Neodiprion lecontei: one gene and its partners. The protein of the gene in region 3 purifies or fractionates together with the protein of the main gene of each other region. This does not show direct contact. Links are inferred from orthologs where the notes say so. Each region holds a gene or a part of one and is shown on either strand. Other genes may lie near its edges. The genes, in order: endonuclease G, mitochondrial; nuclear migration protein nudC; dnaJ homolog subfamily A member 2.

Region 1 (10,599 bases), on a different chromosome or scaffold from region 3:
TTTATCAGGTACATAATTTGGAAATCGTAACTAATAGTGGATATCTAAATTGACATTTTTTCTACTTTTCCGCAATTAAACTGATTTGACTATTATTTGTAAGCTAAAAGGTTACTAAGTATAGACATCGATGAGAGCTCCTCAATTCATGGTCTGGTAGGTAAACCAAAAATCTTCTCAATCCATTTTACAGACTCCACAATGTACATGCGTTGCCGGTTACACTGGAATGTACTGTGAAACGGATATAGACGATTGCGCTGCTGATACGAACGGTAATGTCCCATGCAAAAATGGCGGGAAATGTTTGGATGGGGTGAACAATTTCAAGTGTGATTGTTCTCATACGGGCTACAATGGCTCTGACTGTTCAATAGACATTGATGAATGTGCACAGATGCCAGTGAATTGTGAAAATGGTCACTGTGAAAATTTACCAGGAAGTTATCAATGCAGCTGTATCCCGGGTTATTGTGGTAGAAATTGTGAAGTTTTAGATCCGTGTATTCAGGTGAGTTTCTTGATTGTGAAGATTTTATAATTATAACTTTATCTATCGAATAAGAAAGATGTATATATTGATTGTTTATAATATATTTCTCGATAGAAATACATCGAACTTTATACATTCCAAATTTACATTCTAGACACCATGCCAAAACGAAGGAACATGCACATGTCTTGATGATTCTGGTTATATTTGTCACTGCACCTCAGATTACGGTGGGCATAATTGTACAGAGGTAAGAAAATTCAGCATTAAATCAAATATTGATCCCTGAATGCTCAAACCACCCACAATATTAGAGTTGCCACTAGAACTGCGATATGGGCGGGACAACTCAGATCTCAGAAGGGTTACGGTGTAAAAATGTAATAATGAGAACTGTTTTCTTGTGATGTCAACGTAATTAAACTTTTTTTTAGCAAAAACTTTCTTTGGGCAGCCAAGCACTGGACATTGCTGTAATAGTTGGCCCCATCGTGGGTTGTTTACTTTTGATTGGTGCAGGGTCATTAATAGCCCTTTTTATGATGGCTCGAAAAAAACGGGCTACTCGCGGTACATATAGCCCCAGTGCTCAAGAATTTAGTAACCCCAGAGTAGAAATGGACAATGTGATGAAACCTCCGCCGGAAGAAAGATTGATCTAGGGAACTTGAAGTGTGTAAACATGAGTTGTCGTCAGTTAAACCTAGTCCCTTGAATAAGTTATTGTTTCTTCTACTCCTCAGCCGCAATGAGATTTTGTAAGCATTATTTTTGTCATAACACCAGTTAATAAGGGTATAGATAAGTAATAGAAACGATTATTTCTGTATATTAGGCGGATGTTCATTTCGTTTGTGAACTTGCTTATGTTGAAACTGATGAATTTTCAATTGAATCGAAATCTAGTTTCTAAAGAGAAAAGACAAAAGCAGGTGTTAATATAAATTTTATTGACTGTTTTACCTTCTAGCAGATGACAAACGACCAGAAATTGCCGTATTTTACTCATGTACATGAATGTTATATTGCGGTTCTTAAAATGCACTATTATATGCAGTAACTGAATTAGAAACAATTAGGAGAGCTTTTTTTAGCATCAGTTGAGTTTCAGGATAACTGCTTCATGAGTGCATTTACCCAAGTTCTGAAAAATATTCTGTTACAGTATTGCATTACCAATGGATTTTTTAAGCAGTTTACTTTAGACGCAATATATATGAAATCAGGCCACCATCAGATTTATGCAGTTGGTGATGTTTAGATCAAGTGTGAAAAAATGTAGGATCGCCATCCAGGATTGAGTTTTAAACGAAATTCAACCGTTTATTAGCAATTAGGCTATCTGAGTCACACTTTATCTGCCCAACAATTTCATATAATTAGATAGTCTTGAAAACTAATTGTAAGCTTTTCTCATCATTGACCAGTCAACTTATGACGGCCTTATAGAATGACAATAATAACACCTGATATGCAGAAGCTAGTGTTAAAAAAAAACGAGACCTAGATATATCGTTACAATGCATTCCGAAAACAAAAAAATAAATGCACTCGAGTAGGTTCCTATATATGCTCAGTATAAGATTAACAGTGATACTTAAACTAAACGAATCCATTCGAAGTGTACTTAAGCGATAATAAGTGTCCTTAATGTTGAATAATTTACTTATAATATTGAAGAAGGCCTATAAATATAACGCAACCCGTCCATTTAGTGCCTAATATATATGTACAACCACTCTGAATGTCTCTATGTATATAGAGATATACTACTTAAAATATTCCCAATATTTGACTATTAAAAGATCTCTGAAGCATAATTTGATGTCTTTACTTAAACGTGAGCAATAAACGCAAATATCAGTGAAGGATTACTGATAATAATAATAATGATATTGATAATTATAATCTATTTATGAACGGTATAGAAGTGCTTGAATCATTTGTAGAAATGTATTTTGTTTCGTTTGATGAGCCTGGAACTATGATTTTTAAAACAGCACTCCGTTAATTATTCTTGTAAATACTGTAGATTATAAGTTAAGGATATTAATAGTGGTTTTTATGGATAAGATCTCTATACACATTTCGTACTGAAAATTGATTTTTAATTTGGTATATAACATTTACCATGACGACCAAAGTAATTGTAGTGAAAGTTTTTGATTGTAGGAAGGAATTTGCTCGAATTTAATCATTAGAAATGACTGGATCGGAAGGATTTTACGATTTTACGAAAATCGTGTTATTCGTCTTGTATAGTGTTCAGGGCTCAAGTTTTGAGTTTCTGTAAACAAGAATGAATTGCATAGTTACAACATTGATCTGCATGTTTAATTTATTTAAATCAGAATCACTGTGGCGTTTAGTAGCTGCAACTTGCATGCAGAATTTTCTTCTGATTCATAGTTTATGTAAAAGTTAACTGCATTCATTTATACGTATATGTATATATATACATATATTTACAGTTCTGCTTAGACAAAACTTCAAAGTTGTAATAATAAATACAGAATTATAGTATACCTATAATAACATTTATTTGCAAAGTATTCACTCGAAGTGTACAGCTACATGGTAGCAGCAAGTATAATATGAAATAGCAGATTTATTAAAATGATTTTCGAACCAGATATTGGTGAAAGTATTTTATACAGAGAAAATAGGTCTGTAAGAAGTTTATATAACTACTTTTACAGTTCGTAAAACAGTAAATCATCTAACAGCCCTCCTTTACTATATAACAATATATCAGCTTATTGTACAAAATAAAATTGTATACATTTATTTCGGAAATTGTAAATATAAAATTTGTAATTTTTTTCACACAACGTGAATGAAAAATATTTGGACGATAAATTTACCCCATGTGACTCTGAACTTCGTTGATATTAAATTATTGGGAGATGGACAAGTGAAGAGTGATGAAATACGCAAGTTATTTGAAAATATTTATTTGTTTATTTTTTCAGCTCATGATACGGTAATATTTACATTGCAACACACGGAAGACTAGAACAAAACTATACAGTATCTACATATAAGACCCGATTGCTCTGTTATTTGAAATTAAAGTGGATCTTAACTTCATTTTTAGCACTTGAAATTCAGCTCAACTTTAATTTGCCATGGTACAATCAGGCCTTAGGTATATTTCAGCACCATTATGGATTATGATGCATCAGTAGGAGCTATTATTTGGTTACGAATTTTAAAATAAAATATTTACATAACACATAATGTGAGATTATATTATTGTTTTTAGTTTTTTTAAGAAACTCAACAATGTGTTTTGCTCTCGGTAATTCAAACCTATAGCTCCGACTGGAAGGGTATTTAAGTATTTACAATTTCAACAAAATAAAAGAAATCTATAGATGTAGTCAACAGAAGTAAAATATATGTAGAGCGCTGTTTCCTTGAAGCTATGTAAAAGAATTATACACAAGGTGTAACAAACCGCAGCAAGCTGCATAATATTTTTGTTGTGCATGAAGATTTGATTGAGCAGGCTTCTACTGCATTCCCTGTTTAGAGTCAGGGAAAAGGCTCTGTATGTGTATAATTCATTTACTTCCTGTTATAGTGATTAAACATTACATCCATCCAACACGTTTTCCATTTATCTTGGATAATTTATCGCGTGATATTTTGTCAAAGAATAAAAGGCCTGCAGCTCGTTCGACACTTTCCGGTGGTACCTGTGATACGAATATTAGGTGCTTTAGTATAGAATCTTATTCAATGTATTTTCAACCCTGTCATACAAAGGGGAAATAGTGAATTAGAGGTTTATATTTAAATCCTTACAAATAAGTGTCTAAAATAATATCATACATCAGACAAAGAATTAAATAATATCCCATAAAATTAGTGTTATATTTTATTGTGTCTGAATAGGTTGATTTATGAATTGAATGAAATATGCTGGAAAACTTTATTACACTTATTTGTTTTGAACAGAGGCTATTTCGACCCACGGTATACCTGAAAATTTGTCAATGGTGCCGTGCTGTCTATTGGAGCATTTGGCATCACAAAGGCTTCCATTTCTAATCTGCAATCTTTAGTTTGCCCCACGATTACTTTGTAAAAGTGCGTAGGTACAGCCACATGATTTGTGCCAATCACCTCGTATTTTATATATTTTTTCCCATCAACTTCTTTTCTGTTAATATACGTATAATTATTGAATGTCGTTATAACGATAATGAATAAAGAAGTATGGTGCATCTATAAAGTGAAAGGCCCAAACCCAAGTATCAGAAACTAGGATATTTTCATTTAGCAATTCTTATGAAAATCTTATATTTAAGTCCTAAATGACATCAAAGGATAAATTCTCATACCACTTGCAAACTTATACATCTACTTACTTAGGAAGAAACAAGGGCCCTGTACAAACATACACATCTGTGTAAATTTCAGTCATCTTTCTCACATATTTTTCCAGTTTATTCCAAGCATCTCTGTTGAAACCTACCCCTACTTGTGGTGCTATATTTGACAGGAAAAATGTCTGTTCAATATGTTTTTGATGTGCTTTGTGGTTACCAGCTGCTGCTAAATGTCCACGATCATAACCACTGTATTTATAATCTTTATTGTCTGACCTAGCATGAAAAAGCAGAGGGAATTTAATACACAATCAAATTTTCTTACGACTACTTTGCAATTGCTTAAAATATTTATGAGCCTAAATTTACTATCATTACCGTACCGAAACATCAAGGTAAAGATTATTCCGTAATTTTTAAATGATTTTCACGGAGTTGGCTTTCTAATATATGAGTATGTTTTGTTTATTACGATTTACTTAATTTCAGACAATCACAAAGGTGCGGAGTAACAAGTTTTCCTAAACGTGCATTGTTACAGTAATGTTACTAACTTTAACCTCATGCATATTTGACAATGAGATGAACTGCATACTTTACCTGAAAAATGGATGTATGGTTTTATCAGGTTTGAATTCACACTGGGACCTGTCGACGTCTCCATTGGACTTCACATTATCCTTCGAAAGGTGCTCGAACACCCAATGGGCAATTCTGTTACGTCTGTCATATGACAGTACAAAATCATCATACGATCTGACATGATCAAGACCAGGGAAACCAAACCTCATTATCTATTAGTAGTGAAAATGATACGGATTTAACACGTAATTTTGTACGTTGCCTGAAGCTAATTACAGTGCAAACAAGGATAAAAATGAGAGATACACCAAAGTAGGGTTGATGTTCTAGTTGCGAATTGAGTTGGGAAATACTTTATAAATTATAATTTGAATAACATGCCTGCGAAGTCCTCGAAGTTGACGTTGAAAGGCTCGTTAAATGTGAATCATTATTGTTCGATCCTATAGGAGTTGCTGCTGAGACTGTTCCAAATATTGGAAGTCCTGGCATTCTCTCAATGCTAAACTCCGAGAGAAGACTCGTCTGACAGTCGCGATCTTTTTGAACGTGTTTCCATTTCTCAAAAAGCTGGCCCGCGTACCATCCTCCGAGACCAACGCTGGTTAACGCGGTTATCTTCAAAGCCATACCTGACGCTTTTGCTATTATTCGTAACTAGAATCTTGCTTACAAAGTTCCAGCAATGCAGCCAATGATTTAACTGTACTATATCGCACGCCGTAGCAGACGACCTGGTTTAAGGCCAAAAAACTCAGCTGCCACTGATATCAGTTTCGACTGCGCATACTCAACGTCGGGACGCTCCATTCGCTTGTTTTGGCCCGTCCAAAGCTAATCGGATTGCCGGATAGACCGGAAGTCGCCAGTAAAAGCAATTTTACAGCGCAAATTTCCACAATTCGTGGCGCGGTGTAGACTGAAGTTTTCAACTTGAGCGAATGAATACATACATACCTATAACAAAACGTCGCTTTCAATGATCCTTACGACACGTCATTTGTTTTAGATCACAGTTTTAAGTTGGAACTCACATATAGGAAGGACGCAAAACGGAAGATCCGTCCAATTACGCGGAACTTATCCAGACTTGCAGCGAGTCCAGATTGATTCGAAATCTCTTTGATATAGCGGTGGTTCCACAATACTGTCGAGTTACATATTTCAAGGGTAAAATATACACGATTCGTTAACGTTTTAACGTTCGTTTTTAAAATACGGCCTATCTTTTCCGTATACCTGACGCAAGTTTTCTGAACTCGCTTTATTTCGTCCGGAAGAGAAAAGCATACAGAAACCAAGTAGCACCGAACCCTTATAATGAATTTTTATTTGTAATAGAGCTCACGTGTAAAACGTAAACAAAATATTTTTCCGTCAACGACTCTGCAACGAATTCTATTTTCCTAATTTTAGTTGACTATAAAGTACATCTGAAAGTTGCAACAGTTATGGCATCATCATCTAAGAAGAAATGTTCCAACGTACAAGTCACTGTACGCATCAAACCGTGCAAACCCAGCTCAGATTATAAGTCAGTTATATCCAAAGTGGCAGAAGACTCTAGAGCGTTAAAAATTAATGGCGAGTTATTCACTTTCGATCATATCAAATGGGGGAATGCATCACAGGAACGTGTTTATAAGGCAGTTGCATATTCCGTGGTTGAGAAAACACTCCAGGGCTACAGTTCTATAATTTTGGCATATGGTCAAACTGGAAGTGGGAAATCTTATACAATGGGAACTCTACTCCCACTGGTAATAATTTATTGTACTTACATAAAAGTTTAATAACTCTTTTGTGTTTAATACTGACTGTGAGCTTAAGTGATCCAATTTTTCACTACATCATTATTTTGCCACTATATGCGAGAACATATTTCACAGTCCAACTGAGATTACAGTGTGACACAAACCACTTTCAAGTACCAAAAAATACTAACCATAACTTATGGTAGAGTACATATGCTATTAAATTTTAAATTTGGTCTTCTGACACGATAAATAAAGATTTTAATACAAGTTCACTGGATCTTTATTCTTAAACAAGCTCCAAACTTTAGACCATAGATTTTTATGGAAAATTTTTAAGAATATTTGAAACTGGATGTTTAAGCTCCGGATGGCTTTTTCACATTGTATTTGAAAAATAAAAAGCATGATTATCTCTGCATAAAGAGAAATTTCACCATAAACTTCTGTTAATTAAACTTGGAAACCATACATTCAGTTGACAATTAAGTTTTGTTGGCCTGAAATGTTCGTGAAGAACTTTTTTATTTTGAAACATGGGCTGACTCAAAAATATTGATATATTAATATATGCCTTTGTCAGTATTACGAACAAGAAAATATTGAACAAAAGCAAAAAGAACATTGTTTTGTAATTTACAGTTTCACATTTTTTGTAAACACAGATTGAATTCAAATGAGTGATCATTACTATTTAGCATTGGTTTCCAGCACTACTCAATTTGAATTCTTACAATTAGAAAGTAAAACCTAAAGAAAGAGTCATATTACATTCAGCCTCTTGCAACTTTTTTCAAATCACTGAAAACATTATCCAAAACAATACCCATGTTTTCTTAAGATATGTATAAGTTGTGATTATATAGTCTACTGTATAAGACTTGTGCACAAATTTTTGTATAGCTGAATAGTTGGCACACCACTGGTTTGATACAGCGATGTATAAAGCACGTCTTTGAGCAGAATGCAATTGAAGTTTCGATGTCAATAATAGAGATATTAGATGAAGAACCTCATGATCTACTGAATATGGGGATTGCACTTGAGATTCATAAACACGTAGCAATAAATCCAAAAGTTCAAAATATCAAAACAAAAGAAGAAGGATTTCAACTCATTAAAGCAGCTCTTGAATTGAAGCAAGAACACATGTTGCCATTGAATGATCCGCAATCACACACAATCGTGACACTTCATCTAAAGATTCCAGATGGGTAAATAATCAAATGATATCTATCTTTACTCCTCATATTGGTATTTGTAATAACTGTAAAAATCCAAATATAATTATATCAAGTTCTTGGATAGTAAGTAATGTGGCAATCTAAAATCTATGATTAATCTATTTGACCACTCTTTCTTGTACAACTGTAGGTTTTTTACATGACTTATATTTAACACATGTTCTAAGTGAATTATATAAAACTCATGTTGCAGGGAAACATTACTAGAATCAAAATTAAATCTAGTAGATCTAGCAGGATCAGAAATTCTTGACCAAATGGAAGCTGAGAATAATCCAGCATTTGTTAAAAAAGGTCATGTCAATAAAAGTCTTTCAATATTAAATAGAGTGATTACATCAATTCCAGAAGCTAAGGGTTCAGTTTCAACAGTGCACAATAACAGTACATTGACATCAGTTTTGAAAGGTGATTATTAATTGCATACCTGAACAATTTTATTTTACTACCAAACTTTGTTGCTGCACCCTACTTCGTTTGCACATATTCTATGGTTCAAAACACATTTTTCAATTTTTCAACTTGTGTTTATCCTGTTTGATTGGCCAAATCATATCTCTATGTGTAATTATGTTTTTTTATTTCAAATCGATTTCCTTGCAGGTTTTGTAGATAGCAAGAGCCTTATATCTTTGGTAGCTTGCATGACTACTCATCCGTCTGATTACAATAATACTATGAAGGCACTACACTTTGCTGAACGTACGAAGAATTTAGAAATACACCCTCTGCAAATGAACGGTACTACTTCGTGTACCAAATTTACTAATCGGCTGGAAGACACGACTCGACAACTTTCTACATTATTATCACCAGCTGGAAGCACCGTCCTGATTTTGGATCCTGCAGAAGATTCCGTGTCAGCAGCATCATCAAACTACAAGATGAAAATATGTAGTGTAATTCTCAAAAAGACTGACGAAAATTTTTATCGAGCTGAAATGAAACAGGATTCTAAAGAAAATGTAACGCCATTGAAGCCCACTGATATGCCTGTAAAAGATGAACAACCGGGATTGACTTCTGTCGAGCCTCTACATTCATTAGCTTCGACAGTCTCTATTGGCGAACTACAAACTGAAAGTGAATATGACACTAGCGTAAGCACAAACTCGACCAGACCTAAACAATATCAATGTGACACACTTCAAGGAGATAGTTGTTCAAGGTATATGTTTATTGATGTATCTGCGACACATTCACATCACTACGCAATCGCAAATTGTTGCTATCCCAATGTTATACAGATAGTGAATTATTAATATCAATTTTTTTATGTACAGATTCAGTTTTTAATATAGGAATTCATCAATGAGTGATTACTTTTTGCAGCTCCCCAGTAGATGAAACTAATGCAAAACTGCACCTACCAACACTGAAAACCGAGGTGAGAAATTTATATGCATTAAAGTGTACGTGTGTAGGAAAATAATTTGTTTCTTATTTTGCAGATATCTGCAGAAATGCAATATGAATGCCCAGTTTTTGATCTTGAATTACTCAGTCCCATTTTACCAATGCAACCACAATCTGTTCATCAAGCTTCAGTAAAAAAATTAGCTCACCTCGGAAAATAAATTTTTACAAGTTAATTTCTGAAGACAGAAAATGCTAAACCTTCAATATTATTCGATTTTACAGAATGTGACAGGTGGTGATCAGGGAAAAGTCGGAATATATCACCAACGAGGAAACATGATAAAAAGGATGAATGCTGTTATAACAACTGATTTTTTTGCACCCTCAAATACAGAACTACATGATGCTGGTACAATCTTAGAACGTAAACAAATTAATTGTCCCAGTTCAAGAAAAATGATGAAATTTGCTGAAAACTACTTACAATCGATGTTGAAGCAAGATCCAGACTCACAGGAATCGAATGATGAACGTTCAGACAATGACCGTTCTGACAATACTCAAAATGAAACAAAAGAATTGAAGTACAAGCGAATGGCACATAGTAAGAACATTTTAAGAATATTAAATACCAGTACTGCAGAACAACTGACAGCCTTGCCACTAATTGGATGCAAAACAGCGATAACAATATATCAATACAGGTAATAACAATTTTGTTTTAACTATTTAAAGCGCATTTGTGACTGTAAATGCGATTTTCAGGACTTTTAGCTTCAAAAGTGGGTTACCTCAAATCTTGATCATCTATGTTAGTTAGCATTGGATAG
Region 2 (10,209 bases), on a different chromosome or scaffold from region 3:
CTTGTAACTTTGAGTTCGGAAATTGGAAAATTGTTTAAAATTATTGAAAAAAATTGTGACCATTTTAGAGGACTTAAATAAAATTTAAAGATATTATAAGGATCTTGAACATTTTCAAGTTATGCTGTATATTTATGTGCTCAATAATGTGTATGCCTGTGACTTTTTCAATATGTTAAGGATAGTGAAGTTGATTTTCACATGTGATGAAAGGGATAAAGAAAAGAACTACCTTTCTCACAACATCCATGCAGTAAGGATGTCCTTCAGGAAAACTGATCCTGTGTGGAAAGAATTTGGCTAGCTTGCTCCAAGTGGTACATATTAAAGCACTGACTACGCATTGAAACCAAGTAACAAATAGTGGCGCATCTAAATTGACTTCGTTACTAGAGAGGAGAGCCTTATTTACGAAAACAGTTAAAATGGAAACGATCCTGAAATGAAGTAAGAATTGTACTAGGTAAAATTTGAGAAAATCTTTTTTATCATCATATTTATTGGTAACGCAATTAAATAGTAAGATAAGTTGTGATAAAGTTAATTTTATTTTCAAGCAACAACCATGGCGCGCCAAGTTGGCCAAGAAATCATCAGAATTTAAATCGTTAATAAAAAGAAATAAACGTAAATATATGTATTTCAAATAATAATAACATAACCTAACTGACCAGTAAGTTGCAACAACAAGGGCGATGTGGATGTATTGGGAGACGAGACCAGGTTCCACTACCATTTTAAGGAATATAATTAAAAATTAACGTTAAAGTTTACTTCTCACGCTAATGCTTGATAAGAATTTTGTGACAGGTGGCATTTTTTGCTTCCTGGCGCGGACCAGATATGACACGAATCAATCGGGTGCGTCAACCGAACCCCTGCAAAGTCCCTTCTATTTAAAATTCGAATCTAATAACAGTATTTGCGGTAGGTCACCGTTGTTTCAGATTGTAAATGTTAATACTAGACAAGCTGTTTAGACGATTTATCATCGAATCAGCATCTATCGGTCATTTTCTACTGTGCTAAGTTCTTCTACAGCGCGTATTTTCGTACTCCTCCTAGTGATTATTTTTCTATTATTACAGCAGTTTCGCATTCCGTAAAATAATATCTAGAATCGAGAGAGATAGCCTGTGAAGTTTTCGACGGAGCAACAGAGACGCGAAATCTCAGCTGTTTCTATGCAAAACAAAACCGGTGACGACGCGACACGTGTGACATGTGTAATTCTATTAGATGTATGCGATCTGCATCAAAATTCCATCCAACCGCGCTGTTTTAAATGTTCTACTTGTCACGTTGTTGTGGGAAAAATGTTGCCCGAAAATGAAGATAAAATAAAAAGATTCTGCAACGTGCTTTCCCAAGAATCTAGAGGTATTTTGTACATGCACGATGATGAACATAACCACGATCAACAACACGAGGATATTTCTCGAACATTTTATCGCAAAACTACTTCCCCTTTCACGTTTTTTGAAAAATTTACTGTGGAAAGCAGAGAACAAGATTTTATGGATTGTTTTATATGTCTTTGATCCGCAAATTTAGTTTTGCCTTTTGCTAATTCTTTGCGTTTTTCAATAAATTTAATTACGATAGGAGGTAAAAAGCATGTATATTTAACATTTTGCCTTTTGTCTTGGCATCGTACAATTATACATCCACCTTTGTGATCTTACTATCACATACAATAAATTATTGCCTTCTTCTTTTAACAACATTTCTGGTATATTTTGGAATGTGTAGATGTTTGCTTAGAGCTATTAACAAGTAATACGTTCCGACAAAAACCTTATCACATTCATATATTTTTGGAAAAATACTGCATATGCAATCGGTTAAATTATATTTTCATAATTTATTTCCAGAACTTTACTTGACCAAAAAGGTATCCGAGGTCGAAAGGTCGATTTCTCCACTCATTTTCCATCGAGAGTATGTATCCAAGAACTTACCACTGCTTATAAGAGGCGGAGTTAGCCAGTGGCCAGCGATTGGTAAATGGAATATACCATACTTCCGCGAGACACTTGGTGACAAAATTGTATCGGTTGCTGTAACACCGAACGGATATGCTGATGCAATTGCAGTAAAAGAGTTGGAAGATGGAACTGGAAAAAAAGAGTATTTTGTCATGCCGGAGGAGCGGCTCGTCCCAATGTCCACGTTTTTGGATGCATTGGAAAGTCCAACTCAGGGAAATGTCTATTATATCCAAAAACAAAACTCTAACTTCAACGAAGATTTCCCTGAATTGTGGTCGGATGCTGGAACTGACATTTCATGGGCTACTGAGACTTTTGGAAAAAATCCAGATGCCGTTAATTTTTGGATGGGCGATCAGAGAGCTGTTACATCAAGTAATATTGTTCAGGTCTTCTAGTTGATAGTGGACAAAGAATTTCTACAAAGCATATTTCTGAGACCCTGTCAGAATAGAGGCTTCTAAACAATATCAAGCAAAAGCGCGATATACCTAATACAATAGAATAAGGTGGAGCTCACAATTTTATAGTGTTCTAAGTCCATAATCAATAACATTATTTTCTACAGTGCACAAAGACCCATACGAAAATATTTACTGCGTCATAGCAGGTGAAAAGGAATTTGTGTTACATCCACCCACAGATTTACCATGGATTCCTTACAAGAATTATCCACCCGCAAATTACCGTGAAATAAAACCAGGGGAATGGTTGATTGACCCAATCATTACAGAGTCAACAATAGATGAATTCTTGGAGGAAAGAAATGATTTTCAGTTGGATTTTAACGTTATACCCTGGATATCGATTGATCCTTTAAACCCAGATTACATGAGGTGAGTAACGTAATATTAAAAAAATGTTTATCAAAATTTGAAATTAGTAATTTCATTAATGAGTGTATTGAATTTATATCGGTTCAATAGAGTGATATGTACAAAGACGTTGTTAGCTTCGATAAATGAGTCTTGAAGAAAACAGCAAGCGATGCCTGAATAAATATTATCTATACAGTGTCTGTACATCAACAGCTGAGCCAGTATCAATTGTCAATTGATTCTCAATTTACTTTGTTATACTGATTAAATATTTCCAATTACAGATACCCAGCTTATAAGAATGCAAATACACTCAGAGTAACAGTGTGTGAAGGTGACGTTTTATATTTGCCTTCGCTGTGGTTTCACCATGTCACACAGTCACATGCATGTATTGCAGTGAATTACTGGTACGATATGGAGTATGATATAAAGTACGCTTACTACAAAGCTTTGGAGGCCTTGTGTAAATAGACGATTGGAGTTAAGGGTTCGAATCACATCGTGATCAAAATTTCAATTTGAATTAGTATATTATTTCTAACACTTAACTCCAGTTGCGTTCATAGGGCTAAAAAAAAAACAAGTAAATAATAGAATAAAGTTAGTCTTTTGTAAATAGGTACATGTTGCCGGTTCTTAAAACCTTGTAGAATTTGGAGGTGAACGAAACCAATGCTTCTATTTTTTGAATGTAGTGACACTTGTACTGAAGATGGATTATTTACGGGTAAATCCGCCTGCGCATCGGCAATTTGAAGTCAATCGCTGATCTCTACATAACAGACAGTGCTTGTTATCGGTATTTTTTTAGTCCCATGCTCCTGGTGTATAAGAAACAAATATCAAACGTTAAATGTTAAAACAATTGCTGATTGAAGGATGGGTCTTGCCGTATTTTCACGAAACAATCCGTATATTAATGAAAAGATAAATCTTCGAGATCGCGCCTTATTCTATGCCACCCACCGTACGTCTGGAACATTGCGATGACAGCACCACGGGAAAAGTGAAGTGCAAGGTCCGTGGTAGTATGCATGATTTGAAAAGTTAGATACGATCATGAATTTAGATATGACGCTGTATCGACGGATAATGTATCTTCTGTCAATGACCAGGTTTCAAGGCCACGTCGACCATTTCGTTGACCACGACCATGTGATGATTTGCACACTTTAAAACAAATCCGCTACTTGACCTCGAACGCAATTGGTCGAAAATCCAAGATGGCCTTCACACGGATTAGGCACGCGATTGGTTCTTTGAGTTGGGTGCATAGATATGGGCGCGTTCCGAAACTAGTTGACAAGAACTGTGGAAGACAGAGACAGAGCTAGTCACAAATTCGGCTACACAACAGAGATAATAAATTACTGACAGCACCGAAGCTAATTTCGGAACGCACTCTATACAGAGTTTAGTGGAACATGAGTGGAACACACCTTCTCATCTTCCTACATCATGGCGTACTGTGCGCGTAGTTCGTCATTTGTCTGTAGACTACGATTGGCGTACTGCACGTTTCCAGAATCGGCGTTTCTCAGGCAACTGTCAAGTGTGTATCGCGCATTTATCATTTTATAGTAGTAAAAGTTAAAACTGGTGTGATATCGATATTTTGGGAATCAAAGATAGGATAAAGATTAGAAAACATGCCGAAGGAAGAGCAATTTGACGGAATGCTGCTGGCGATGGCTCAGCAACACGAGGGAGGCGTACAAGACGTAAGATTTGCGTTGTTTGTCACGATCACATAACCTCTAAGTCAGCCCGGTAATTCACTCTGGTTTCTCTGAAACGAGGATTTTCGTTGTTTACAGCTTTTGGATACGATATTCAGTTTCTTGGCTCGAAAGACTGATTTCTACACTGGAGGTGGTGAGGGCGCAGCAGAAAAGGTATTTTCTCTAATATTTATCGCACACGTTTGTATGGCATAGTTTTCGATTGACCCGGTTTCTCGCATCAACCCTACTGACTTACCTGTCTTAGTTTGCAGGTGACAAGCCAACATGTAATTTTTTTGTCACCTACTAAATTCCCAAATTCACACTATGCTGGATAACGATACTAAAGACAAGTATTAACTAACCTAACCTAATTTAACCTCACAAAAACTTGTATTTCACCATCTATCTGCACAAACGTTTCATCAATGCAAGGCTTATGATACTCAATAATAAGTCCATGACAAGTCGCTGTTGTTTGTTTGATTTTACAGCTGTGCTGTATTAATTGTGGCCCTAAATTATTGTCAACGCCTTTTAGTCACCAGGCCAGGTACAACGAATAAACTGAATTCATTGAGGCGTGATACAGACTTTGTTTTAGAGTATTGTTTCCCAATGTTTCCAAACTGTTTATCACCTCATTAGTGAGATTGTCATATTTGGATAAATATTATTCCTATCGATATGTTTATTATAAAGACATTTTCATCGATGCCATGGAATCAGATTATTGTATATGACAGGTCTGAATGAAAATGAGAACTGCACTGTTCAATAAATACTTTTAAGGATTTGAGTACTGTTGAATAATGGTTTCTTGACCTCGTTAGTTGTTGAGTAAATATTATTCTTGGATATGAAGGTCAGTAAAAAAAAAAAAAACAGTTTTTTTTGTCAACGTTTCAGCCCAGATGGGGGCCCTTCTCAGAACAATTATATTTAGGAACATCTGTCAGAATCAGAAATAAAGGCGACGATGCAGATTATACTGCACTCTGATACATAGCATTGTGCATAACTCACCTGGAATGTCAACATTTTGTTGCATTTCAATGTTCATTTGAATCTCAAACATGAAACTTGAACATTTGTCATGAAATTGAAATTGGTGAATTGAAATTTGGTTTTTGCTTAAATATCATCTTTTATAGTAGCGTACGAATGTTGTAATTAGAATTTTGTCCACGTTTAGTTTTATTTTCGCAAAGATGGAAACGTAAGCACCGAGAATTTTTCTGACATGTTCTATTTCTTGGCCTGTTATAGCTTGTGATGAGTAAATTTAAGAAACATGAGGCAACTGCAGTAAATAAAGTATCAGCTGAGAAGGCAGAGCGAGCTGAGCAAGAAAGGAGACGTAAGGAAAGAGCAGAGCGAAAGAAGAAAGAAGAGGAAGAACAGTTCAAAAGCGAGTCAAAGATTGTTGAATTGACAGACGAACAAGCAGTCGAGCTGCAAGCTGAGCTCGACAGCAAAGTAAGATCATGATAACTGACAAATGATTTTCGAAACTAGACCTCACCATGCAGTTATGAACAAAAATGTAAAATATAAATATCGTAACTTTTTTCAGAAAGTATCTACCGAGCCACCAGCTGTTGCCGGACCTAGCGGAGATATTGCACAAGTAAAGACTGAGGAAGTTGGTAGTGGTAAACCAGAGAAAGATGATGACGAGGAAGAAGATGAAAAGGAGAAGGGGAAATTGAAGCCTAACAGCGGTAATGGTGCTGACATGCCTAACTACAGGTGGACACAGACTCTTCAAGAAGTTGAGGTGAGTTTTTGAACAGTTTTTAACTTTCAAGTAAAGCTAAAATAAGGGAAATCTGTCCGTGTACCATTCTTTTTTTATAATTATCCTCCCCTGCATTTATGTACAAAAGTTGTACATTTTTAATGAAAAATTAATTTTTAATTTCAAACGGTCTCTCTTGCATTAAAAAAAAAAAATCGGAACACGGCAAAGAGGATAAACTATCCCCAAATGCTGTCTCCAAATTTGAAGCAAAACGCTTGAGCCAAAATATACGTGTTTGCCAAAAAAAAAATGTATCTATATTCTCGACATCAAAATGCAATTTCAACTTTCAAATTCGGCACAAACGTTCTCCTTCTAGTGGCTAAATCTTCAAAAGTAATTCAACGAATAAAGAGGTATAGGAAAGGCCATGAAACACCCTTTAAACTGATGTGATACATTCTTTTCTTATGATTGTTTTTCCGTAAATTTTAATGTCAGATTCTTTAACCTTGCCTCTTATTATCGGCTGCCAATTTTAAAAGTCTAAAAAATTATCTTTTTATTCCATTTTTAATTGTATATCGACACACAAATTTAAAAAAAAGACCCGCGATCTGATCTTTGTGAATAAAATCAATCTTGTCTTACAACGGAACATACCAAAGTTTGAAGTTCTTTTTTTAAATTACCGTTCTTCAAATACTCAAAATGTGGTTTCTTTTTAGCCGAACTCATTCGGAATCGTAATTTACTTTTCATATTGTCCATTTACTGCATGAACACTTTTTCCTCATCAGAAGAAATATTTCCATTTTCAATATGTAAAAAAAACCAGATAAAGTTTAAATTATATTTTTCAATATTTGTAGAATAGTAACTTAAAAATGAATCCTATACCTTGGTGTGCACCACCATGATGCAAGAGGATCGAATTTTTTCAAATAGATTTGATCGTACCTCCATTTTGAATATTGATTAGTTAATGTACAGCTAGTAAACGAATATAACCATATTTTTTTTAGAATTCTAAAGACACAGTCAACGGCAAAAAGTAAGGTCAAAGAATTCACCCAATGAAATTCATTTCCAGAGGTTATTTCATGCCCTTTTCGATATCTCTTGATTTTCTTCAACTATATTCATTACCTTTGAAGATGTATGTAGTAGAAGAGCGTGTGTGCAAAATTGTAAATTTGCAATTATATTCTGAAGTCGAGAATATGGATGCAACGTTTTTTTCTTCAAACACCTATCGCTTTTTTCCGATGAATATTTTACCAGCAAAGTATTCGGTTCGATACGGAATGTCTCATATACACCTTCTTAAAAAAATTCGTCATTTAAAATTTTTCAAGTAGGCTCGTGATAGTGTAGAAATTTTTACCTAGTTCTTGGCAAAATACAGTATGTAAATAAGACGAAGTAATAATTCATCTTTTATATTTTGTAATGAGTATACACGGAGAGAAAAATCTGAGAAAAATTACCCTGCTGTTACTAATCGTGATGTAAAAGACACCTAAGATTTTTCTCTCCGTGTACAGTATTTTATAAAGTACTACAAGAATTAGAAAAAAAAAGATGTTTCCATTTCAACAAGTATCTTTAACTCATTGTCTCTTTGTCATCGGTTCTCTACAATAACCACGTTATATGAATTACGTAATTGAAAAATTTCGCATTACGCAAAAAATACGAACATTATTTGCAGTATGATTTCGTAATTGCTGTATGTCTAACATTATTAGTCAATTTTTACTTCTGAAATTACAAATATTTGTCAAAGAGTATTCATTAGGCAGAAAAATTCCATACTTACCTTATAATATTGAAAAATCGGTATCGGGCGTGAAAAATTTATTTAGGTAATAATAAAATATACGTGTCCGCTTATTTTGGCCAAGGAAGAAGTTACTTCAGTTCTGGAATATAACCACCGATTTTATCTTCGATTGTTCTTAACATTCCATGGAAGTATTTTAATTTTTCGTACGATCAGAAATGACTTCATTTCGCGTGTTGCGCAATGTTTTTCGTTGTTTTGAAATTGTTTGATCGACTAGTAGTAAAATGTTGACTATTACTTACGTAAAAATACGACCTGCGCTCCGATGAGTGTCGAAATTTTTTCGTTATAATTGTCTGAGCATTCTTATTACGCATTTGATAAAAAAAATACGCATTATGTCACTTGTGAATGTAAAACGAGGCAAGGATTGTGACATTCGAATAGGAATCGATAATCGTTGGATTTATACGAGTGGCAAAGAGGGAGGGGATAAGAATAAAACACTTGGCGATAATAATTCGAGAGTTTCTTGTTCAATCGATGATTAATTAATACACAAGTAATATCACAGATACAAAGAATGATGATGCAACCATCCTTTATCAATTATCGATCAATGAAATTCCACGTTCTTTTTGTTTTGTATACTTTGTTTTTAAATTATCTCGCACGCTGCCTTCACACGTTGGTTCGAGACATCGCCTCCAAGTTTGATTTAGACTTTGTAAAAAGTTAGTAACAATTAAATTATTAACTCTAAATTACATATCTAATTAAAGAATCTTAATTAACGATGTAATCAAGCTGCATCTGGGTTCTATAATAATAATAATTATTGTTATTGTTGTTATTACTATTATTATTATTATTATTATTACTACTACTGCTACTGCTACTGCTACTGCTGCTACTACTACTACTATTGCTATTTTTTGTTTATTTTTCTTTTCAAATTTTCTCATCGTAGATATAATTTCATATACTCGAACGTCAGAGAAATCTACGGAATGTTCGACGATGCGAAAGTATACTAAATTTTACCTTTACATCAAAAGCTTTCTGAACGGGTAGGTTTATATGGTTTACATAAATGTTTGCTAAACTATCCTGGAACCGCTGTTATAACATATTACTTGTATGATTTTTTTTTTCTTTTTTTTCTCCTTTTTTATCGAAAGATAATAAATAATGTTGTTAATTTGATTGTATATCATATATTCAATATTCGTTTAAACAACAAGGGCTTGGCTTGCGTTTGATTTCTCAATTCTGCTATATTTTCTTTTGTCGGTTGGTTTCGGCGATTGCTTTTGTTTTTGTATTTTGTTTTTTTTTTTTTTTTTCTTACAAGTTTGTTTTTTCGTTTCGTTCTTTTTTTCTTCATTTATAAATTATTACGAATCTAAAAGGCCTTATCGAAGTACACGGCACACAGCGCGCTCATTACATAAATGTAATTACTAATTTCACGTACCACACATTTAACACAGTGCAATACAGCCTTAAATCTATCATATTATATAGATTGATAACATACTATACGTTATTGAACTAATATTCTACTATACATAATATTGAATTCATTGAAATCCGTACTTATTCGGATTCTTGTTTGTTTTCGATGTCGAGTAGCAAATTTTCAATTTATTATGTCGTTCGATTAATTTCGTATCAAATACCGTATCAATATATTATAATCTATTCTTCTTTTTCTTCTTATTCTTCTTATTCTAAGAATTCTCTTCTTCTTCTTTCGCTTCTGCTTCTGCTTCTGCTTCCTCGTCCTCTTCTTCTTCGGTGTTTATATTACGATGATGCTCTCGCGTTTAATTGTACTTGTCGCGAGCTCTCACTGTAACACAAGTAAAACAGGTTTTTTTTTTTTTTTATTAAAATGATTAGTTTTCTCTTTATTTCGTATACGAATTACACAATTCAACACTTGAAGCAATTTTTTATACACAATTAATAAATTGTTCAGAGTTCTGTTATTGTTAAGAAAACTGTGAAAAATTTTACTATTTATTTACGAATGAAGTCCGTTAACATTGAAATTTATACATATGGCTCAATTTTCGTATGCTATACCTACGTTACGAGAATCAATTTGGATATTAAAGATTTCTAGTACAAATGC
Region 3 (11,609 bases):
GTTCCTGCATCAAATTCGATAATTCTGGGACTTTGTCCGCGATTGATAACACTCACCCTTTGCTTGTGTTCTTTTTTTAGGTGATGAAGGTAGCTTTTAAGACTGGGAAATTTTTTGACCGTCCTGCAAGTTGTACATTCGTATGCTTTCGACCCCTCCTCTGTATCGACGAGCGGGCTTTCGGTCGGCTCTTCTTTTATTACCAATTTCCCCTCCTCGTCATCTTCCTCGCCGTCTTCATCAACGTCCTCCTTCTCCCCTTCTTCCTCCTCGTCCTCTACGGCCGCCGACGCGTCATCCTCATCCTCCTCTTCATCCGCCATTGCTGTTGGCTCATCATCCGAAACGTCTCCCCTCTTGCTCCTCCTGGTGTCCTCGCGCTCTTGGTCCTGTTCCATCGGCTCATCCTCGTCCTCGACATTTACTTCGTGGTTTCTTTCTTTCGCAGGGTGTCCGGTGGTGGGTGGGGGAGCCGCTACAGCAGGTTGAGGTCGAGGACGCAGCGCTCGCAAACGGGGCAGCGAGTCCGCCATCTTGTTCTGTTCCGTGGCTGTTATTTTTCGTAGCCCCCTATCAACTCCTGAAAAAATCCTGGTTCTTAGAAAAATAATTTCCAAATTGCTGGGGTCGAGTGCCAGTTTCTTGAAACGCATCCGATTCCCATTCTTCGCTGAGCTGAAAATGCCAGTCAAATAAATGGACATGTCATTCGATTATTCATCGAAATTACGCCAAAGCTGAAGAGAACCAGATTCCCTGAACTGGCTCACTGATCGGTCACAATGGTTGCAACAAAACAATCGATCATTACGCAACATAGCGCCAGTACAATAATCTGTAGAGATAATTAGCATTACAAGCACAAAGGATTAATTACAGCAACTTGAAGGATAGCTGTTGGTACTCCGCCATTGCATGACTGTTTCCGACCTTCCGTTCCTCCGCTTTCTCACGTCGCCGAACATCCAATATCCATGCGACTTCCGCGCTGGTTGGAATGACAGCGTGCGTCTCACTCGCTCCAACCTAACAACCAGCTAAGCCATATACTCGCACGCTCTCACTCTCACTCTCTATTCCCTTCTCGCTCCCGCCTTCACTCTTTACCTCTTTCCGAAGAGACCCAAGATGTGCTGTAGTTATATCGTCTTCCAACTGCACGGTACACACAAAACAGTACCCAAGTAGAAGAGAGAAGAGTTGATAAACCCCCGAAGAATAAGTAAATTGACAATCAAAAGACGTGGCAGCGAGACGTGCCGAGTTGAACGTGCATATTTGTCTAGAAGGAAGGACAGTGGTAATGCAGAGTAATTACATGATTTAGTACCTTGTTAGTTGATACTCGGACCCTCGAAGTTATTATTCACTGATAGTCAACGATGCCTGGCATAGAACCTTGCTATTGGAATACGGCGAGGTCGTGACGGCGTGTTGCGTGTATTGCTCAACTCTTACACGGTGTGCTTTTGGCTTTGCTTGCTGCCCTGGCCTCTTGCGTCTTGCCACTAGACTCTAGAGGAAAGCCAGGAGGAGCGGCGGCGGTGGTGGCAGCGGCGACGACGGCGGCAGCAGGCGGTCGCTCGGTCGGTCGTCGGTGCGTCGGGGTCTCGTTCGTCGGTGTAAACACTCGCGCACGCGGGTAACACAGCTAGGTAGTAGGTAGCACGCACACCACCGAGGAAAGTCCCGAGCAGCCTGCAGCCTTGCAACGCTTGCCAGCCAGCAAGCAAGCACAGAATGCCACCGACTCTCGAGTGCTTAAGAGCCGTCGGACGATCGCGATTATAGTATTTGAAGAAAACAATTGTTGGCACTAAAGAGGGAGCGAGAGTGAGAGAACCAGAGGGAGAGAGAATGACGATAAATGTGTTAACGTATGGAGAAAACAGGAGAAAAAAGGAGAGATAGAGAGCTCGGTCACACAACTTTATGGATAGTGATATATATACGTCCATGTAGATGTAAGTATGAATGTATACCGATGATGACATACACGTTGGATCCATGCATGTGTCAGGGGCACGTGTATACATACATCGGATCGAAGAGCTTCGCAAGGCGTTTACGACAGCTACGACCGTCTCGGCGGAGGAGTGCGAGATATTTATGCGAAGAAAATGACGCGAGGTGTGTTGATGGAATCAGCGAATAATCAGGAGAGGATAAACAGGACAATAAAATAGCGATGACCCTCCGAATAGCTCCTTATTAATCAATAAAGTATTAATCGCGCACGTGTTGTACGTCTATACTGTGTATGCGAGACGATCGTTTCTGCAAGAACGGTGAAGAAACCCACCGTCAGCCCCTCCCGGATGCGGGATGACTGACGACGCCGATGGCCAAGTAGCGCAGGCGGGCGCCATCTGCAATTCCACTCCCTTCCAACTTACCTACGGGCATATTACGGGCTACGGGACAGGTCCGACGCGAAATGCGATAGCGTCAGAGGACCTTATATACTTATTTATTACCATGATCAAGGTAGACTTATTCTACACTTTGAGCTACATCAGCACCGATTTACCGGATTTGAAGCATAGTATTCATCGGTGCAGGCTAAGCGAACTAATTCAGTGAGCGAACGCCTAGTCGCCATTTTCCTCTCTCCTTTTTTCCTGTTTCGATTAATGGTCTGCCCGGAAATGACGCGGCTAGTACCATGCAGCTGTTATGATTATTCCGACAATCGACAGGAGAAATTGGTGCAGGAAATGAAGAATAAAAAACTGACTTGCCCCAAAGTTGACCGCAAATGCGATTGCATGAGATATTACCCTCGCCGTGGATTTCCGGTGATGACCGGCATATTGTTTTTTATACATACGTACTAAACTTACACTAATACGGTATAGATACGAAGTAACGCTGCATATAGATGCATGTAAGATACGCGGAGAGACGATAGCGCGAGAATCCGTATGGAATCGACATTTCAACGTGCAAGGAACGTGCATGCATGCGTATAATATCGAACGCGACTTTGTTCCTGCAAATTATCGAATATTCACTATTTTCGTAATAAGATTGCCGTTGACATTTTAAAGCAGAATAGGTTGATGTGGAAATTAGAAACGATACCCTGACCTTCGGCAACTATAAATATAGACAAGATTTCCATAATTATTCGACATATGCTGCATGCACGCACGCTCTCCCGTCTTCGAAAATTACCAAATAATTATTTTTCGCCAAAATGTAATCAGACCGATTCATATTCTCTTGAACGCCGATTGCGGCAGTACAATCTTACATTGCAATACTTATACATATACGCCTATAATACGTGATTTATAAATCAGAAGTATCTTTCGCTGTATAACATATAAATGTATACAAGATTATCGTAAGGCTAATAAGTACCTACGTCTACAGCCTAGCTCGATACCCGTTATCTTCGTGCACGTCCGTCGCCGAAGTATTCCAGGGACACGCAGTGGCCATCGTGCAAAGTCAGACTTACACCGCAGAGTCAACTATGTAGTGTATTCTACTTTGTGCAACACCGCTATTACACATTCCCAAACTCTTCAGAGTACAGAGAAACGATCCCCTAACTGATCACGAGCAATGAATTACGCTCACACTTTCTATCTAATATGGAAAAAAGTTTTACCTGATTGCCTGAGATTCCGATGCCGTATATACACGACGCGTATATCTATCCGAGTGCTTATAGGTTGAAAAAATCCTCTAATAGGGAAGTTTCGTTGATTTTTGGTTATTTTATATTTCAATAGTTTAGGAGGAAAATGATCTGGTCACGTGTTTCCCTTTTCGTTAAAAACAAAGTCGATAAAGCAAAGTATCAGCAGATTGAAAAAGGTACTGTGTGACATCAGCCATGCTGAAATACATCTATCTATATCAAACCTGTGAAAGAGAAACGTTTATACTGTCACGAAACTTATAAGTTTTGACATCATCTTTTGTTGCAAAAATAAAGAAATACGGGCAAATTATATTGAACTGATCTACCTTATACAGAAACGAATAGTCGGAATTCTTTTTCCCGTAAATTGATATTACTACTGCAAGTATTGATTTTAACTACGTCTGTACCGTGTGCAGGATTAACTAACTGGATTCACGAACGTTTTGTTCTGCAGTAATATCAGGATTATTACAACAAACCTAGCAGAATTCTTACTGAAGCCAAGTAAAAATTCCACAGGTGTATAACCTTTCAGATAGTTGCAGAAGAATAATATAAGATGTATGACATACATTCATGTCTTTATTTGCGGCTGTGCTCTGATTGAAAGAGCGATGAAGTAACAAAATGATTCAATGGAAGAAAGAAGTATGCATGTCCCTTAGTCGGATGCGGATTCAATAGCAGACTTCGAACAAGGTATATTCCTGGGATATTGATGTATACGAAACGGAAATTTCTTTAATATCTTCTGACTGTGGGATTTCCACCATTAATCGGATTATTACCAATACTTTTGGTACAAATATTAAAGAATAATATTTATCTGACTTCATCCATTATTCTCCAACTTACTGGTTGTTTAATTCATTAGCGAACAAGTAAATATTTACGAAGTTATATAAGCAGAGTGAGTGAAACGCAAACCGGTAGGCAAATTCCTTTAAATCACGAAATAATTTTATCCACTTAGCTGGTATAATGGGGAATATTTTTCTGAATAACTATTCGCACCTTGCGCGTGCTGGAAAAGAGATGAACAAGGTGCATCACTTGATGATCAAGGCATACGTTTTATTGAAACGGCTGCAGTTGATGCTAATAATTGATAAATATGTCGGCCCAAGCCGATTAGGACGACGGTTAATCTACATTATAGACACATGATGTACATGGATACATGTGATAATTATTTGTGTACGAGTGCTGCGTACAGAGTGAAATGTGACTATTTACTGAAAAACTAGTGTACTCGATTTTTTTCACCATACTGCACAATATTTATACTCGATTCATCCATTTTGCAATTATCTAGTCTCTCATTCGCTCACTCTTACTTCCTCGATCAATTCAATTACATAAAATAATTTTCTACGTCGGGAATTTTTCGAATGATACAAATTCGTTCTTCTGGAACTTCGTTCGCGATTTTCTTTTTTGTTTGTCACTTCCTTACATCCTTGAAAGTTGTCGTATATTGAATTTGAATAACACATGCAAGTTTTTTTTCACTTCATTTCTGGCATTATGATTCAATTATTATTCATTATAATGGTTGTATTACAAACTTGTCACTGTAGTAATTAAAATATCACTGAAACAAATAATTAAATAAAAATAAAAAAATAAATCAACACTTGTTCTGTACATTGACGACTTAAATCGCGCATGGCCTTCGTGGCAAGTGATCAATATATTCTGATAAGAAAAAAATCGAAAATTTGTGAATCAAGCCTCTTGAAACCTACTTCAGTACATGACGGAATACTTTTACTGATGCTATGCTTACTGCAATTTCCGGCTTTGGTTGATGTAGTTGTAGTTTATAAGTTTAATATCATTTTGTTCAGAAAAGTATTCATTGAAGGTACAGATGACGAACAATTTTGCGAGTCATGTTGTTATCAAGATGATAGAAAAATGAGATATAAAACATAAAACTAAAATAGATAAAATTGCAGGCAGATAAAACATCTATGTGTGGCAATCACATTTTAAAAACCAGAGAAATTGCTTATTCACGGGTGGCAATCAACGGTATAGACAATTTATGACATTTTTGTCTTTTCGTTGATTTAGGATTGTAAATTGTACTAATTCTCAACCATTTAATTACTCCTCTTTAAATGAACGATACTTGACGGTATTAAAAATGTCCGAGGACTTTGGTGACCACCCTCTTTGTTGACGACTTGTTACTTGTCGAGTGATTAGCTACTCAATCATTTTATTATTCTTTAAGAACTGGTGGAGATAATTAGTTATAAATTTTATTGATGTGCACATTGCACGCCGGAATGTTGATGCATCTCATCTTCGTCTGACGCGTACGCTTCTGCCGATCGTCCTGACGCATCACGATGCGTTGGATCATATTCTTGCAGATCCACTTCCTCGGCATCACGCGGCACCACGGTGGGTGGAATGTTTGGTCCAAGCGTTGTTTTTAAATCCTGTTCATAAAATAGTAACGTTGATCAATGGTAGAGGAACATGCTCATTTCATACGTGCAAATTTTATGATAGAAAATCTGGCAGGATTAGAAAGTAAATTGAATAGCTAATGGTTCGTTCAGATAAAGGTAAAAAAAGTCAAAACTCACCATGAGCACTTTTTCGGAACAAAAGTGATTTTTAGGGAAAGTTACTTCAAAATTTATGTAAAGATTCCCTTTTTCGAAAGGATTCCTGTACTGTGGCATCCCTTCACCGACAACTCCTTTCACATCACCAGGACGAATCACATGACCAGCAGGATGTTTAATGAGCAAATTTCGTCCATCTAAATGACGCACTACAAAACTTGCTCCACAAAGAGCTTCAGCTAGTCCGATGCTTTTAGTCATAATCAAATCATCCCCAGATCTTTCAAAGGTTGGATGAGGTTTCTGTTGCAATACAATAACAACATCGCCAGGCTGTACTTCTGGCATTTGATCCCCTTCGCCTAAATTACATTAATACATCATATTTTGCATGATCATAAAAATTTATGACAATTTTGTTCATTATTCAGAAATTTCGGTCATATTTCAACTAATATCTACATAAAATTTTACCTCTGAAGAGAATTTTCTGCGACTCCCGCATTCCTTTGTCAACATGGACTTCTAAAATTTTAGTTTGATTGACAACTTTTTTGCCTTCACATGTTGTACATCTATCTTTCTCATTGATTATTTCACCAGTAGTTTGACAATGAGTGCATTTCTCTTGAATCTGCTGCGCCATACCTGGTGCCAACTGCCTGTATGAAACTTTGTAACCGTACCCACGGCATTGCTTGCATGTGGTTACAGCACCTTCAGCTCCACCAATCCTAACAATACATATTAGATAAGTATATATATTAATTCTGGAAAGAAATTTTTCTACCAAAGATATTCTCAAATGCAATCAGACTTTCTCTAGTCATGATGAAAATTAAAGTCAGGTAGAAAATAACACATTATTATGCTAAAATATTTTTAAAGAAAGTGTGAAATGAATTGTTACCCAGCACAAGCGGCACAGAGCACATTTTTGCTGAGCTGCAGCTTTGCAGTTTTTCCATTGTACATGTCTTCCAGAGTTACCCTGCAAGTAAACATACAGATTAAGGATCATTTGAATAAAGCTTCATTAGTCATTATTTATTCTCAGACACTCACTTGAGCGGATGAACAGTGTCTTCACCACGACGGGATTTTCGCCTGCCACCCATACCACCGCCGAAACCTCCCAGTCCTTAAAAAAAATCCAGTATAAATTGAATCAAAAAATGACACAAAAAAGGCAAGGGAAATCATTTGATTAAATAATTTAGCATGTAAATGTTGGTTAAAAAATTGTCCAAAATTGAAGAAACTTACCACCGAACAAACCACTGGCTCCGCCACCAAAAAGCTGGGAAAATATGTCATCTGAGGGAAATCCATCACTGGCTCCTTCTTGTACACCTTTTATTCCATGTTTATCATAAATTTGGCGTTTCTTAGGGTCGGATAAGACTTCATAAGCAAATGAAATTTCTTTAAATTTATCACCAGCTTCCGGATTTTTGTCGGGATGAAACTCCTTTGCAAGTTTTCTATAGGACTGATAATTTTCCAAATGTAACGGCTATCTTGTGACATATTATCACCTAGTGAAATTTAATGTTTAATTATGACATAGGGATAAAAATTACAAAGAAGACTTAAAAATAGTTGAAGGTACAGTGAAATTATTTGCAATACTTTGTCTGTTTGAAGTAGCAATAAAGATGAATTTATTATCTGCGCAGCTCAGCTTCCATATCGAAGTGATTTATTCATTCAAATTGCTAAACATTAATAGCCATACAAATAATGATAGTAATAATAATGAAAATGATTTAATTAAACATAAAAATAAGGTTTCACACTGAAGAATTGAGAGTTGATGAAAAACGTAGGTAATGGTAGTGGCTATTGAACTATTTCATTGGTGGAGAGGGACACTAAAGGTAACGGTAAAATGCGGAAAAATTCTAAGAACCCATAGAATAAAATTTATTGTTTCTTTGTCAGGAAAAGGCACAGAAAAACGAGTATGCAACTCAAGAACAAAAACGATAATAATTTTAATCGAAATAAGTAGAGAAATTGAAGTGATTCACAATGTTATGTAATGAAAACCGTTAATAACGAAAGAATGATTAGTCAAAAGTCAAGTTGCACATCGTGGAGTGCTAATTATCTGTTGAAGAATAGGGAACAAGGTTTGACCTCGAGAAGATAATGCGGTAATATTTTTGCAAATTCCTGTCGGAATGATGCAGTTACCTTTTTGATTTCTGCGTCGCCGGCAGTTCGTGGCACTCGGAGTACTTCGTAAAGTTTATTATCTGCCATTATGCGATGAAAAATCGAATAATCCCAGAGAAATTATAAAAGGCCCCGACTTTGGCGTGGCGGAGCACAAGCCAAAATCCTCTAGTCGTTGGGTAATCAGACGTACCTGAGATACCGAACTCAGGATACAAAACATGGCCCTTGACTACCAGGTTAGACGTCAACTAACTCTATCTAAGTATTTTAGACTACAAAAGGTTTTTCTATCTAACTTGAATAGTTCCATTTTTTTCCGTTTCTACGCAGTAGGCAAAGGACCTTAGTAATTTTCCTGTGGTTTTCCATATTACTACTTTGTGGTTTTAATATCTTCTCAACGATTATTTGTGAGTAAATGTTCAGTTGTGTCAGTATTATTGACATAAGTTCATAATCTGCTGCGTGGAAATTGTGAGGCATTCGAAGAACAGTAAGAAAGCTCCGAATTTACCACCGATTTTCAAAGATGGGAGGCGGAGACCTTGTAAGTAGTTGAATAAAATGTAATAACCTACAATATAATAATTTTTTTCCTACCTTGATTACTCCGAATTTCTTGCATTGTTTTTTTCCATAACCCAGGTTTCATAACATAAACACAACATAAAATTTCTTATAATAACGTGTTTGACTATGTAATTATGTAGAATTTGAAGAAGTCATGGCATCCTTCTACAATGAAAAATATGGAAAAGGTGTGGAAAGCGGAGCAGCAGAACAGCCAGGAAAAGAAAAGAATAGCGGAGTTAAAGCGTGAGATTGAGATGGAGAAAGATCGAGAAGATATGACAAAATATGCCATGGACCAAGGCGTAATTGAGAAAAAAGAGGATAAAAAATTAGACTGGATGTATCAGGGGCCTAATCAAATGTTAAATCGGGAAGATTATCTCTTAGGACGCGCTATCGATAAACCATTTGAACAGATGGCTCAGGCTGAGAAAGAAGCGGAGCAAAATCGTGCACCCAAAAATCATGTAGAATATGGTAAATTGCCAAGGTTCAAATAATTAAAGAAATGAGCCGTTTGTAGTTCTCAGTGAACCCACACATAACACTGTAACTCTATTCAAGTCGCGAAAAGAATTTCAGTTTGAAATAAAGTCCCCCAGGACTAGTGTGGATTATATCAGAAAGAGTTCAGTCCATAAGTTATTGTAGTTTTCCAAATACCACAACAGTAACATCTGTCAACAATGTTATCTGGTTTGGAATATCTAAAACCATGAAGGATTGGATCAACTACTAACACCGTGCCCAGTAAACTTTTGCGTAGCATAATTCTACTCCAATTGTATATCTCTTTGGATAATTCAAATAGGGTTGCTTAATCATCTAAATACAGTCGGACCTCAATTCTACGGACAATTTAGAGAACCAATTCTGGTGCTACCGCAGATTCTTTCTCGTGTGATAGGGGCCGAAAGTCTGCAGAATCGAGGTTCAACTATAGCATTTTCGCTAAGTGCTTTGTCTATATAGAAAATTTGCTATTGTGGTTATCTTTCACTTGTTTTTCCTCTGCAGAATGCATACCACCATCACTAAGATTCTTTTCGGGCAATGAACAAGTGGATTTAGCCAGAAAATTACAAGAAGATCCATTGTATGCTATAAAAAAAAAAGAGATGGAAAGCCGGAGTCAGTTGTTGAAAAATCCTGTTAAACTGAAGCAGCTTAAACAGCTAGTGAGTTGTTCAATTAAATCAATATAGTAGTACAGCAATTTTGGGCAACATATCATTTGTATTTTGTATACAGTTGGAAGAGCAAGCAACAAAAAGTAAGGCTGAAAAAAAGCATAAAAAAAGGAAAAGCAAGAAGCAGAGTAAGCATGATTCTGAAGGTAGCGACAGTGATAAAGACTTGGACAATTTATTAGCTGCAAAGTATAATAAGCTTAAAAATAAAATAAATGAAAAAGACCTACTAATGTCCGTGAAAAAGCTGCAAAAACAAAAGAAGAAAAAGGAGAGTAAAAAGTCGAGCGATTCTCAAGAAACCAGTGAGGATGAAGAAATGGAAAGAAAAACAAACTCAAAAGATAAATCGTGGAAGAAACAGCCTAGCATTGATGAAAATGAATTTAAAAAACGCAGCCATAAGTCGAGAGTCACTAGCTATGATACTGAAAGAGGACATGAGCGATTGGATCGAAGAAGATATAAAAATAATAGTTACAGTCACGAGGAAGATGCCTCAGGGTCTAAGGACAAGCACAAAAGAACCGGTAGTGTTAACCACACTGAAGGATTCCAAAAAAATAGACACCAAACCAAACGACGTCGAAATTCAAATGACTTTGGTAGGAAATCCAGCAAGTCTTTAAGGTCAGAAACAAAAAGATTACACAGTCCTGAATATAGCAGTAATGACGAAGAAGAACACCACATGAAATCGAGAGGAAATTATGGTCTAATAGTAAGTAGAAGATTTTTGTGCTTCAGGTATATCTGATCCGTTACTCAAGTGAAAATTTGAAGTTTCCCCTTGAATCATATGTTAAGAAACTAATATTTTAAATTTCAGAGGTCTGACGGAACTAAAATTGTACCATCTGGAACGTCTAATCATTTAGATACGGTGAAACCGCATGAAAAAAAAATGGCAGAGAAACGCTGGGTACCACCTAAGCGAGAAAAGCTGACAGAAGATGAAAAGGAGAGACGAAGACAAGAAATGATGGTCAATGCGTCATGGAGAGATAAGGAACGAGAACAAAATGTGAAGAGGTATCGTGATGAGGAAAAACGGGAAATTAGTGATAAAACTTACAACAAAGAATTCATCAGGTGAATTAAATGAACCCAGAATGCTTTACCTATCGAATATACTGGTACTCTCTGCTGATGTAATTCATCTGATGTGCATCTTGGATTTTCGTGATTTCAGAAAACAATTAGCTGTTGCGGCTGAGGTAGGAACCGTCGAATCAAGGATCAAAGCCAATATGAATAATATCCAGAGGTCAAGGCGAGCAATGGACACAAACTTTGCGAAAAGATAATCCATTGTAAAATATCTTCAATGAATACGTAAAGGTTATTATAAATTATGTAAATAAATGATTATGATTCAATTACATGTCTACTTAGCTAAGCAATAACCTATATTTTTAT

What was found.
Region 1: the proteins of dnaJ homolog subfamily A member 2 (region 3) and endonuclease G, mitochondrial purify together in Homo sapiens (affinity purification with mass spectrometry; 3 studies listed by BioGRID and IntAct, with this or other methods). This does not show direct contact. The link is inferred for Neodiprion lecontei from reciprocal best matches to the Homo sapiens genes DNAJA2 and ENDOG.
Region 2: the proteins of dnaJ homolog subfamily A member 2 (region 3) and nuclear migration protein nudC purify together in Homo sapiens (affinity purification with mass spectrometry; 4 studies listed by BioGRID and IntAct, with this or other methods). This does not show direct contact. The link is inferred for Neodiprion lecontei from reciprocal best matches to the Homo sapiens genes DNAJA2 and NUDC.

The regions. Positions count from the first base shown.
Region 1 is NC_060262.1:28,811,213-28,821,811, reverse strand, and holds endonuclease G, mitochondrial, read right to left. Parts: upstream 6,167-10,599; 5' UTR 6,043-6,166; coding exon 5,794-6,042; intron 5,725-5,793; exon of another isoform or gene 5,646-5,724; intron 5,625-5,645; coding exon 5,431-5,624; intron 5,109-5,430; exon of another isoform or gene 5,107-5,108; coding exon 4,870-5,106; exon of another isoform or gene 4,662-4,869; coding exon 4,481-4,661; exon of another isoform or gene 4,195-4,480; coding exon 4,090-4,194; 3' UTR 3,432-4,089; downstream 1-3,431. Other genes in the region: protein crumbs, read left to right, coding at 1-8, 194-511, 648-743, 928-1,155; kinesin-like protein Nod, read left to right, coding at 6,864-7,172, 8,070-8,380, 8,604-8,818, 9,014-9,578, 9,743-9,797, 9,862-9,957, 10,052-10,473. UniProt on the Homo sapiens protein: Endonuclease that preferentially catalyzes the cleavage of double-stranded 5-hydroxymethylcytosine (5hmC)-modified DNA.
Region 2 is NC_060260.1:24,293,450-24,303,658, reverse strand, and holds the start of nuclear migration protein nudC, read left to right. Parts: upstream 1-4,269; 5' UTR 4,270-4,461; coding exon 4,462-4,533; intron 4,534-4,629; coding exon 4,630-4,707; intron 4,708-5,805; coding exon 5,806-6,015; intron 6,016-6,112; coding exon 6,113-6,316; intron 6,317-9,169; exon of another isoform or gene 9,170-9,898; coding exon of another isoform or gene 9,899-9,924; intron 9,925-10,209. Other genes in the region: GDP-fucose transporter 1, read right to left, coding at 233-437, 672-736; bifunctional peptidase and (3S)-lysyl hydroxylase JMJD7, read left to right, coding at 1,185-1,380, 1,875-2,366, 2,560-2,827, 3,094-3,283; uncharacterized protein LOC107227537, read right to left, coding at 9,899-9,924. UniProt on the Homo sapiens protein: Plays a role in neurogenesis and neuronal migration. Necessary for correct formation of mitotic spindles and chromosome separation during mitosis. Necessary for cytokinesis and cell proliferation.
Region 3 is NC_060261.1:35,411,359-35,422,967, forward strand, and holds dnaJ homolog subfamily A member 2, read right to left. Parts: upstream 8,611-11,609; 5' UTR 8,512-8,610; coding exon 8,443-8,511; intron 7,736-8,442; coding exon 7,510-7,735; intron 7,385-7,509; coding exon 7,309-7,384; intron 7,235-7,308; coding exon 7,154-7,234; intron 6,978-7,153; coding exon 6,718-6,977; intron 6,606-6,717; coding exon 6,262-6,605; intron 6,112-6,261; coding exon 5,929-6,111; 3' UTR 4,712-5,928; downstream 1-4,711. Other genes in the region: zinc finger protein Xfin, read right to left, coding at 57-533; pre-mRNA-splicing factor CWC25 homolog, read left to right, coding at 8,957-8,974, 9,138-9,477, 10,018-10,178, 10,252-10,911, 11,020-11,282, 11,383-11,497. UniProt on the Homo sapiens protein: Co-chaperone of Hsc70. Stimulates ATP hydrolysis and the folding of unfolded proteins mediated by HSPA1A/B (in vitro).